Schizosaccharomyces pombe: one gene and its partner. The gene in region 1 interacts genetically with each later gene. Each region holds a gene or a part of one and is shown on either strand. Other genes may lie near its edges.

The links.
Region 2: of sar1 (region 1) and spo14, extra expression of one rescues a mutant of the other (dosage rescue), as found in Schizosaccharomyces pombe (one study listed by BioGRID).

What each region holds. Positions count from the first base shown.
Region 1 is NC_003423.3:3,759,928-3,763,712, forward strand, and holds sar1 (ADP-ribosylation factor Sar1), read right to left. Parts: upstream 1,959-3,785; 5' UTR 1,903-1,958; coding exon 1,780-1,902; intron 1,731-1,779; coding exon 1,625-1,730; intron 1,368-1,624; coding exon 1,024-1,367; 3' UTR 690-1,023; downstream 1-689. Other genes in the region: protein mug37, read left to right, coding at 1-353, 424-689; protein lsb5, read left to right, coding at 3,243-3,785. UniProt on the Schizosaccharomyces pombe protein: Small GTPase component of the coat protein complex II (COPII) which promotes the formation of transport vesicles from the endoplasmic reticulum (ER).
Region 2 is NC_003423.3:1,889,179-1,893,713, reverse strand, and holds spo14 (GDP/GTP exchange factor Spo14), read left to right. Parts: upstream 1-1,870; 5' UTR 1,871-1,923; exon of another isoform or gene 1,924-1,960; 5' UTR 1,961-2,057; coding exon 2,058-2,171; intron 2,172-2,284; exon of another isoform or gene 2,285-2,318; coding exon 2,319-2,444; exon of another isoform or gene 2,445-2,490; coding exon 2,491-2,775; exon of another isoform or gene 2,776-2,831; coding exon 2,832-3,173; exon of another isoform or gene 3,174-3,229; coding exon 3,230-3,550; 3' UTR 3,551-3,742; downstream 3,743-4,535. Other genes in the region: transcription factor TFIIH complex cyclin Mcs2, read right to left, coding at 1-73, 126-199, 286-558.

The DNA of each region.
Region 1 (3,785 bases):
TAGTCAAACTGTTCAATTTATTAAATCTGAAACTACTCTGAAACAAAAAAAAACCAAAATTGACGTTCAAAATGTTTATGGACTTGACAGAAACACAAAGAATTTGGAAAAACGCGATATTCAATTTCTAGAAAACGACAAGTTGGACCTGAATTCTCATGAGAACGAAGGCGAAAAAACTAAAACTGAAACAGTACCTACGCGTAAACAGTTTCCAAAAGTTGGAGAATTTAACTCCGCAATACACGGTCTTTCTTCGGAAAGTGTTTTGAGAACATGTTTTCGTGTAGGAGAAGTCTTAGCAGTATTCAGGATGAAACGAAGAGATGTATGCATTATAGTTGAATTTTTTGGTAAGGTCTATTATGTTTGCTCTCAATATATGTTGGTTTTATTGCATAAAAATGAAATCTAACGTTATAGCAAAAGTGCGCTCTGCAAAAAAAGTCGGCAATGTCATCCTCTACTACTTTGAAGACGCATTTCGTGGACAAAAATCACCAGCGATATTTGCTAAATATTACTCATGTTGCGAAATATCGCCTCTTTTAACTAAACCGGCAACTATGATCAGAGTGGTTGGAATCGTCTCTCATGCCGAAAAGATTTTAAAAGTGATACACATAGCTAGCTCGGATTTAGATGAATTATGGGACACTTACAATATGGTGCTCTACGAAACTTTATAGATTATCATCTATATATGATCATATTCACAAAAGATAAGTAAATATCTCTGAAGAACCAATAATCAAGCTTTAGAATCACAACTGAAAAAAATGGGCTAACGGATAATACACAATACGTTATCAGCATAGGAGCATACTGCAAAGTCAGTAAAGACAAATGCTCCGTAGATGAAAACAATTGACCGCACGAATATCATATAACAAAAAAGACTTGTCATCAAGTTTGTAAATCTGAATTGGGCGAATCTATGTAAGCGCTGAGCAAACAATTAGGGAAATTTGGAACGGGCGTCATTCAAAGTGAAAGGTTTTTAAGAGGATGCAATGGGGTAACTTAGACGTATTGAGCAAGCCACTTGAAGCCTTCGCCATAACCTTGGCGAAGGACCACCGAGCACATGAATACTTCGATAGGTCGGATTCCAGGAACGGGTTTAGACACGCCCTTACCAGTGGTCTGATAAAGTCCAAGGGCCGCCTTGAGTTCATCTTCAGAAATAGCACCAGGGGCATCGATTTTATTGCCAAGAATCAAAAAGGGGACGCGAGCAAGTTCTTCCATGGCCAATAAGGCATCTAGTTCGGCCTTTGATTCAGAAAGGCGTTCAAAGTCACAGCAGTCAACCAAGTAAACAATGCCATTAACCTCGGGGAAATAATCTCTCCACAAGCGGCGAGCTATAAGAAAATTAGTAAAAATACATAAAATCAGATAGAGAATCCAAAATCATAGAAGAAATTGCAAAGAAAAAACAAAGATCATGAGAACAAAACGGCCCACTGATAAACTAGCCAACGACATATGAGACGATATAGAAATTCAAACAACTTTATACAAAAAAGAATTTTAAGCGAAAAAAAATTAATTATTCTAAAGACATTCCAACTCTTACAAAATCTCCATGATTTAGAAAAACAACTCTGTGACTACATACCCTGTTGATGACCTCCCAAATCGAAAGTAGTAAATCGAACGTTGCCAATAGCCAGTTCTTCTGAAGTAGGATGTAAAGTTGGTTGCATTACAGCTAAACGGTCATTCTAAATAATTAGTATAAGGATAATCAAGGAGAGTAGAAGTCAAACATACTTTCAGCATGTGTAGCAAGGTGGTCTTTCCGGCGTTATCTAAACCCAAAAACAGCATCTTGGCATGCTTGTTGACAAGACCAAGCATGGCAAGAGCATCGTAGAACCAGTTAATGATAAACATTGGTGTAAGATGGATGGATTTTCTGAAAACCTGTTATGCTCAGTGTGTTGGTGGTTGGCAAGAGATGACTTACCTCATGCCTAGTTATACTAATTTTCTCTAGGTAACCGAAAATAAGTAGTTAAAGAAAATATTTAATTAATGTACGTATGAAATGAAACTGAATAATTACATATAGTTCAAATTTGGAAGCTTCTCTATGCTTTTTTCTAGTAGTAAGTATGAAGAGAACGATTTTGGCGATTTCTAATTTACATGTTTACGTTTGCTTAAATTAACTATTAATGAATTCGTCTCAATACAATTTCTTTCGGTTTGAAAAGAATAAAGGATGATAGCTTTCAGCTTTTCGTTTAAATAAAATTCGACTAGTAATTTACCATTTCTAAAATTTGTAACTATAAACATGTTATGTATTTGCACTACGCTCAGTTAATAACAGGGCGCAATAGACAAATTGAGAAAAACGGTAAATAAATGTATAAAAGAATTGAATGAATAAAACAATGCACACTTACAACAGTTGGGTTAGAATTACAAAAAAAAAAAATTCACGTAGGCTAACTGTTTTTAATATTAGCTTTTGAGATTAGAAGTAACTTTAATTTCTAAAAGTTTTCTGGATTTCTTTTTTTATAAATCTTACAAATTGTGACATCGGCCTTTCGTAGTTTATAGATATATTATACGAATATATATACATATATTTTTGTTTCTATGTATACGGTGGGTGATACAGGAATTTGTGTTTTATATTTAAAACATATAAATTCAATAATACTCATTTATTCAAAAAAATTTTTTTTTAAGCTAGTTTTTTTCATAATAAGTTGTTAATAACTATCATTTAATTATTACTTAATATTATTCCGGCATACAGAATTAGTAAATATCAGCTGAGAATCTATATCTACAGGATATTTTGCTAGCAAATAAATTAACAAAAATTGCATAATCTTCTCTAAAATTCAAGCATCAATTTTCGGGTTAATTTATGATCTTTTTCATTCTTCATTTCGTTAATTATTTTTGTATCACAACTTTGGAACGTAGTGTAATATGATATTCTTTATCTATACGACACACACCAAAATCCTTCTTCTTTTTGCAAATATAGACAACTTTTCTATTCGATAGCTTTAAAACTTCATAAAATTTTACTTGAAAGAACAACCAGAAGGTACTACTTTCGTTTATTGGAAGGTCCGTTTACAATCGATTGAAAATTATTCCTTGCTGCTATATATTTTCAGACTTTAATTTGTTCCATCAAGCCATCAAACACTCAAGCTATCATTATCTCAGTGAATAATTAAAATCACTATTTCATCTTATTTATAATGGGAATTTTCAGTGAAACAGTTCCAATTACTGCTGTCACCACTTATATCGATCGTTTAACCTCTAGAGATACCGACGATGAGGATTTGTCTGGTATCGTTCAATTATCTGAAGCCGTTAATTTAACTGTTACTGGTCCGCGAGAGGCTTCTCGTACCCTTCGTAAGAAGTTAAAGTACAGTACACCTCATGAACAAGTTCGGGCACTTGTTATTCTCCAGGCTTTAATTGAAAATGCTGGCTCTCATTTTTTACAAAATTTCTCAGACGAAAAATTGGAAGACCGAATGTTGCAATGTGCAACAAATTCTGAATATTCTAAACCCGTTCGTAAGCGTGCTATCCATATGATCAAACTTTGGCACAATGACTATTCTAATGTTCGTGGAATGGAAAGCATGAGTAGTTTAGTATCTCGACTTCCTCAACGACAATCATCTGCTTCGCATTCTGAACAACCCACTATCAATCTTAAAAAGGTTGGTCCAATTTTAGAAAGATTGATAGCCTCTTCCAGCATGGCTGCTACCAATCTTTCTAAT
Region 2 (4,535 bases), 1.9 Mb from region 1:
CATGTTTTTACAGAATTGTTCAATAGAGATATAATGATCGTTGCACTTGGTAGCTAAAAATAAAGAAGTAAACCTAATGTAAGAAAAACAATGTTAGCTTAATGGACTCGGCGACTTAAACATACGAAATAATTTTTGGACTATACTCCATGACAGAGTTAATTAGATAAAAGCGTTTAAAAAAAAGAATGGCCGTGGACTAAAATTTTGTGAGTAAAGTCGGAATGTTTATATTGAGTACAGTTTCCAAGTAATTGAAGGAAATCCGACCATGTCTAAACATACGCGAATATGAGTTGGTAAGGAAAGAGCGGAAGAAAGTGCGTTCAACTGGAAACTATAATAATTTACAAGTTCAAGTTCTTCTTCAACGGTAAGAGTTGGAGGCAAAACTTCTAAGGATGCTTCCTTGTTTTGTAAAGACAACTCTTCCAGCATTCGCTCACGTACAATATTCGTAAATTTTTCATTTACTTTAGCACGTGTTTTTGAAAGGTCTTCTTCCGTAAAAATCCAATCTCTGTAATGCGTGGAATCACGAAATTTATCGGCAGACATGTGAATAATGTAAGTAGAATTTACAGCACTCTATCAATTGAGGGTTATGCAAAAATTTAAATACTTCTCTATAAAGCCAGTAAAATAATAATATTTTTGAAATTTGGATACTTCTCTGCTATGAAAAACCCAAATCGCTCGTTCGCTGAGACTTTGTCGAGGACATCAGATACCCTGGATGTGGAGAAGAGAGTTTTTGCAATTAATGTGCGATGTGCAAAAAGAAAGCAGCACTATAAAGTTATATTAATTTAATGAAGAGTTTATTACATAAACTAAAATTTACTAATAAATAAAATATTGTTGAGTTGAAAAAAGTCTTGCATTCATGTTTCAATCAATTTGTATCAGCATAACATTTCACTGAAACGAAGCTGAAAAAAACAATAGTTATATAGGATTATGCTTTTTTATATTCCATTGAGGCATATCATTTAAAGCCAAAAAATTACCTGACAACGTTCAGTTACATATTTGAGTGAATTGCAAATGAACAAGAATTGGTAGTTAAATAAGGAAATGAAACAACATATTATTAATTAAATTTAATTGGAAGTCAATCTTTGAAATGAAACACGCTTTCTGTGCAAAAAACAGAAGTAATATTATAATCATACACAGGCAGCGGCGTATTAAGATTGTAGGCACCTTGGCACGAGATCGAGCATTCATACCCTTTAGTAGAATAAACACAAACATTAATTTCATGGACAATGTAGTCTCGCGGCAATTTCGTCTTAAAAATAATAATTGGAAATTATAAATAAATCCGAAAATTTCTCATCTCCTCACTCTTTCCCCAGTTCTCTTAATCTATTTTCGTAATATGATGAACATGTAGTAAATATTGCTATATAAACTATATAAACAATACAACGTAAACCTGGTAAAATGTACAGGAGACCGAGATATTAAATAGTGTCTGTAGCAAAGTTGCAACCAAACTGAGGTCGGAATTGAGTTCTAAAAAGCTGAAAAGGAAAATATAAATATAAAATGAGCCAGAATATGCTCCGAGATTTAGAAAGAATCTATTATAAGTTTCTGTTTGTTCAAAGATTCTTCGCAAATAAATATCCACAAGTAAGTATCATCCTTTTTTAAGTCAATAAGGATTTAGGTTATCTCTAATTAAATCTTTTCTCTACTGTCATAAAAAAATGGATAAAAACTTATGTATATATTAAACATCGCCTAAATACGTAAAAGAGGATAGTGATGTCGATATTATTCGATAGATTCTGATACGGGGATCTAATATTCTTACAGTATTTGCTTAAGTCTCGAAGTAGGTTCACAGCGATTTCGAAACATACCCACACCACCGTATTCAAATAGACATTGTTTTTTTTTAGTGGAATTCTTGTAAGTGTACTTTATTGATTTGCTCACTAATAAGTAGAATTTTTTTTTGATTCGTCGCCGATATCGATTTATTTTTTCAATACATTCCTATTCCTCGTATCCAGCTTAAAGTGTTTTCTAATTATTAGATCAAAATGGCTGAACTCCACCTTTCTTTTCCAGCTTATTCTCTTTGTTGGATTAATAACCATCAAATGGCGGTTGGTGGTGGAGGAGGAACTACAAAATCTGGTGTTAAAAACAAATTGGTATGTCAATTCGTGACTGTAAGTGAAGGATTACTTCATTATCTATCTATTTTACAGCATTATAAACTTTTTAGTATCCGGATTGTTAGCTAAAAAGATTATGTTTTACAATTGGACTATAGGCGCTAATTAGTTTGTCGAATTTAGAAGTTATTATCATATGAAGACTATGAACCTGAAGTTGGTGAAGGTCATACAAAATTTATAGAACATGGAGAAATCGAACTTAAGCATTCGGATGATGCCGTTATGTCGTTGGGTTATTTTAAAAATGTATGCAATATTTTTTTATTGCATAGCTAACGAAATTAAATTGTAGGAATTAATAGCCGGTATTAATAACACCATTGACGGAAAGTTAATTGACCATTTACGTTTATATGGAAGAAAGGATAAACTATTTGAGGAAAAGAACGCTCTCAGGTTAACCGATTTTGACAATGATGAACAATATCAAAGGTTATGTTTATTTGAGCCATTACACGATGCAATTTGTATATCTTGCACTAATAAAAGTTTTTTTATCATCTCCAAAAATGATCACAAAGTTTTGTTTGAAAAACATGGTTCAGATGTGTATGACGTTTCATCTACTGAAGACAAGGTAAGCCACAGCCTTTACTAAATTTTATTTATTAAATCCTTACCATTCTTTTGTAGCTTGCAATTGCAGTTGATGATCGCGTCGAAATTTATGATTGGAACACTTTTGAATTGGTGCAAGTACTTTACATGCCGGTAGAGCGAGCCACAGTACGAGGTGTTTCGTTTTTACCCAACCAATCCATAGTAGCTGCTTATAACTATATTAAAGATTCCAAAAGGTTTGCTTCATTGGTTCGATTTGATTACAGTTCAAAGAATCAACTTTGGAGATTTGGCATGATCCGAGATTTAAAAAATGCAAAGGGCGTCACCTGCTTTTGCTGTGATAAGGAGAATGGAATGATCATAGTTGCTGGAGCAGATTGCAGCATTCGTTTCATGTCTTTAGACTTAACGGTATGTGTTTACTTAAATATTTTTATTGCGATTTTGCCTTCTAATATGCATGCTAGAAATTGTCTCAAGTTTATAAGCATAGCCTTCCAGTAACTGATATGCAGTTATCCCCTGATTCTGAAGCACTAGTTAGTGTTTCTGCTGATGGCTTGCTTTGTCTTCAGTTTGTAGGAAAATTCAAAAATTTGAGCGCTGTCAAACTTGAGGATGCCGGAGTCATACTTCGATTGTCTCTTATGTTCCCTTTTGTTTTGGCGATCCTGTACTTTTACTTACAACTTCTTTTCCCAGATGAGAAGTTAGACGCAATTCATCGATTCTTTTCCTTTATTCTTCACATTTTTTCGAAATACACGATTAGAAACTATGACCTTTAAAAAAAGTAAAACCAGCTCACGTTTTATGGTTTCCTATAAAGATTTGGCTGGCACGTAACTAGCTTATTGTTTCCTGCAACTTTGCAGACTTTTAGAGTTCTTTTGTTTGGATAGAAGATTTATGTTTTGGGTGGTTTCATTTACCACAGTCATCAATGACGATATGAGGAAATAAAGAAATTCTACATAACTAATCATGAGTATGCCAATTTCGATCTGTACAATGACTATGCAACATTATAAAGTCTGTAGGGCATTTATGAAATTTTGCGTTGGACGACCTTAGAATACAAAATGTATGTGTCTTTTAAGTCATAAACATGTTTTAGGGCCAGCGGCAGTGACAGTAGTGAGGATTTTGAAGTCTTTTAAAACCAAGGAAATTGTATTCATAACGGTCAGTGATTAGCATATGAAATTCGTTAAGCCATTATGGTTATCAGATATCTGGGAGATCAAACAAGAACCAAAAAGTAAAGGCTTAGGCGAAATCAAAAATATACCTATTCAAAAATATTTTTTGTAATTGATTGAACAGATTGAGCGAAACGATTCACGATATTCGAGAAAAAGCGAAATTTGCAACGTTTGCCTTTGTGTGCTCTCAAGACTTTGAGAACATCACCTCAGATCAAAAGAGAACGGCTAGTAAGTAGAAATTAAAAGTAATCAAAGCACAATCCTCTATCTTTCAGGAAAAAGAAAATCCTCATCGATTGCAATCTCTTCTTTCGAGTATAGATTTCTATAACTCAGTACACTCAACTAGTTTGAAAACAGTGAGCCAGTGCGTAGTACGATAAAATTGAAAACCCTAAAGGAGAAGACAACATTACGCCAAGGGCAACGAAAGAAAAAAGAATTTCATAACTATGAATGAAAGAGCTCTTCGACTGCTTCTAATCAATCGTTTCACATATTTAATGACTTTTCGAGTACCGTTGATGACACACTACGGCAGTTACGAAGGTAGCCACATAACTTG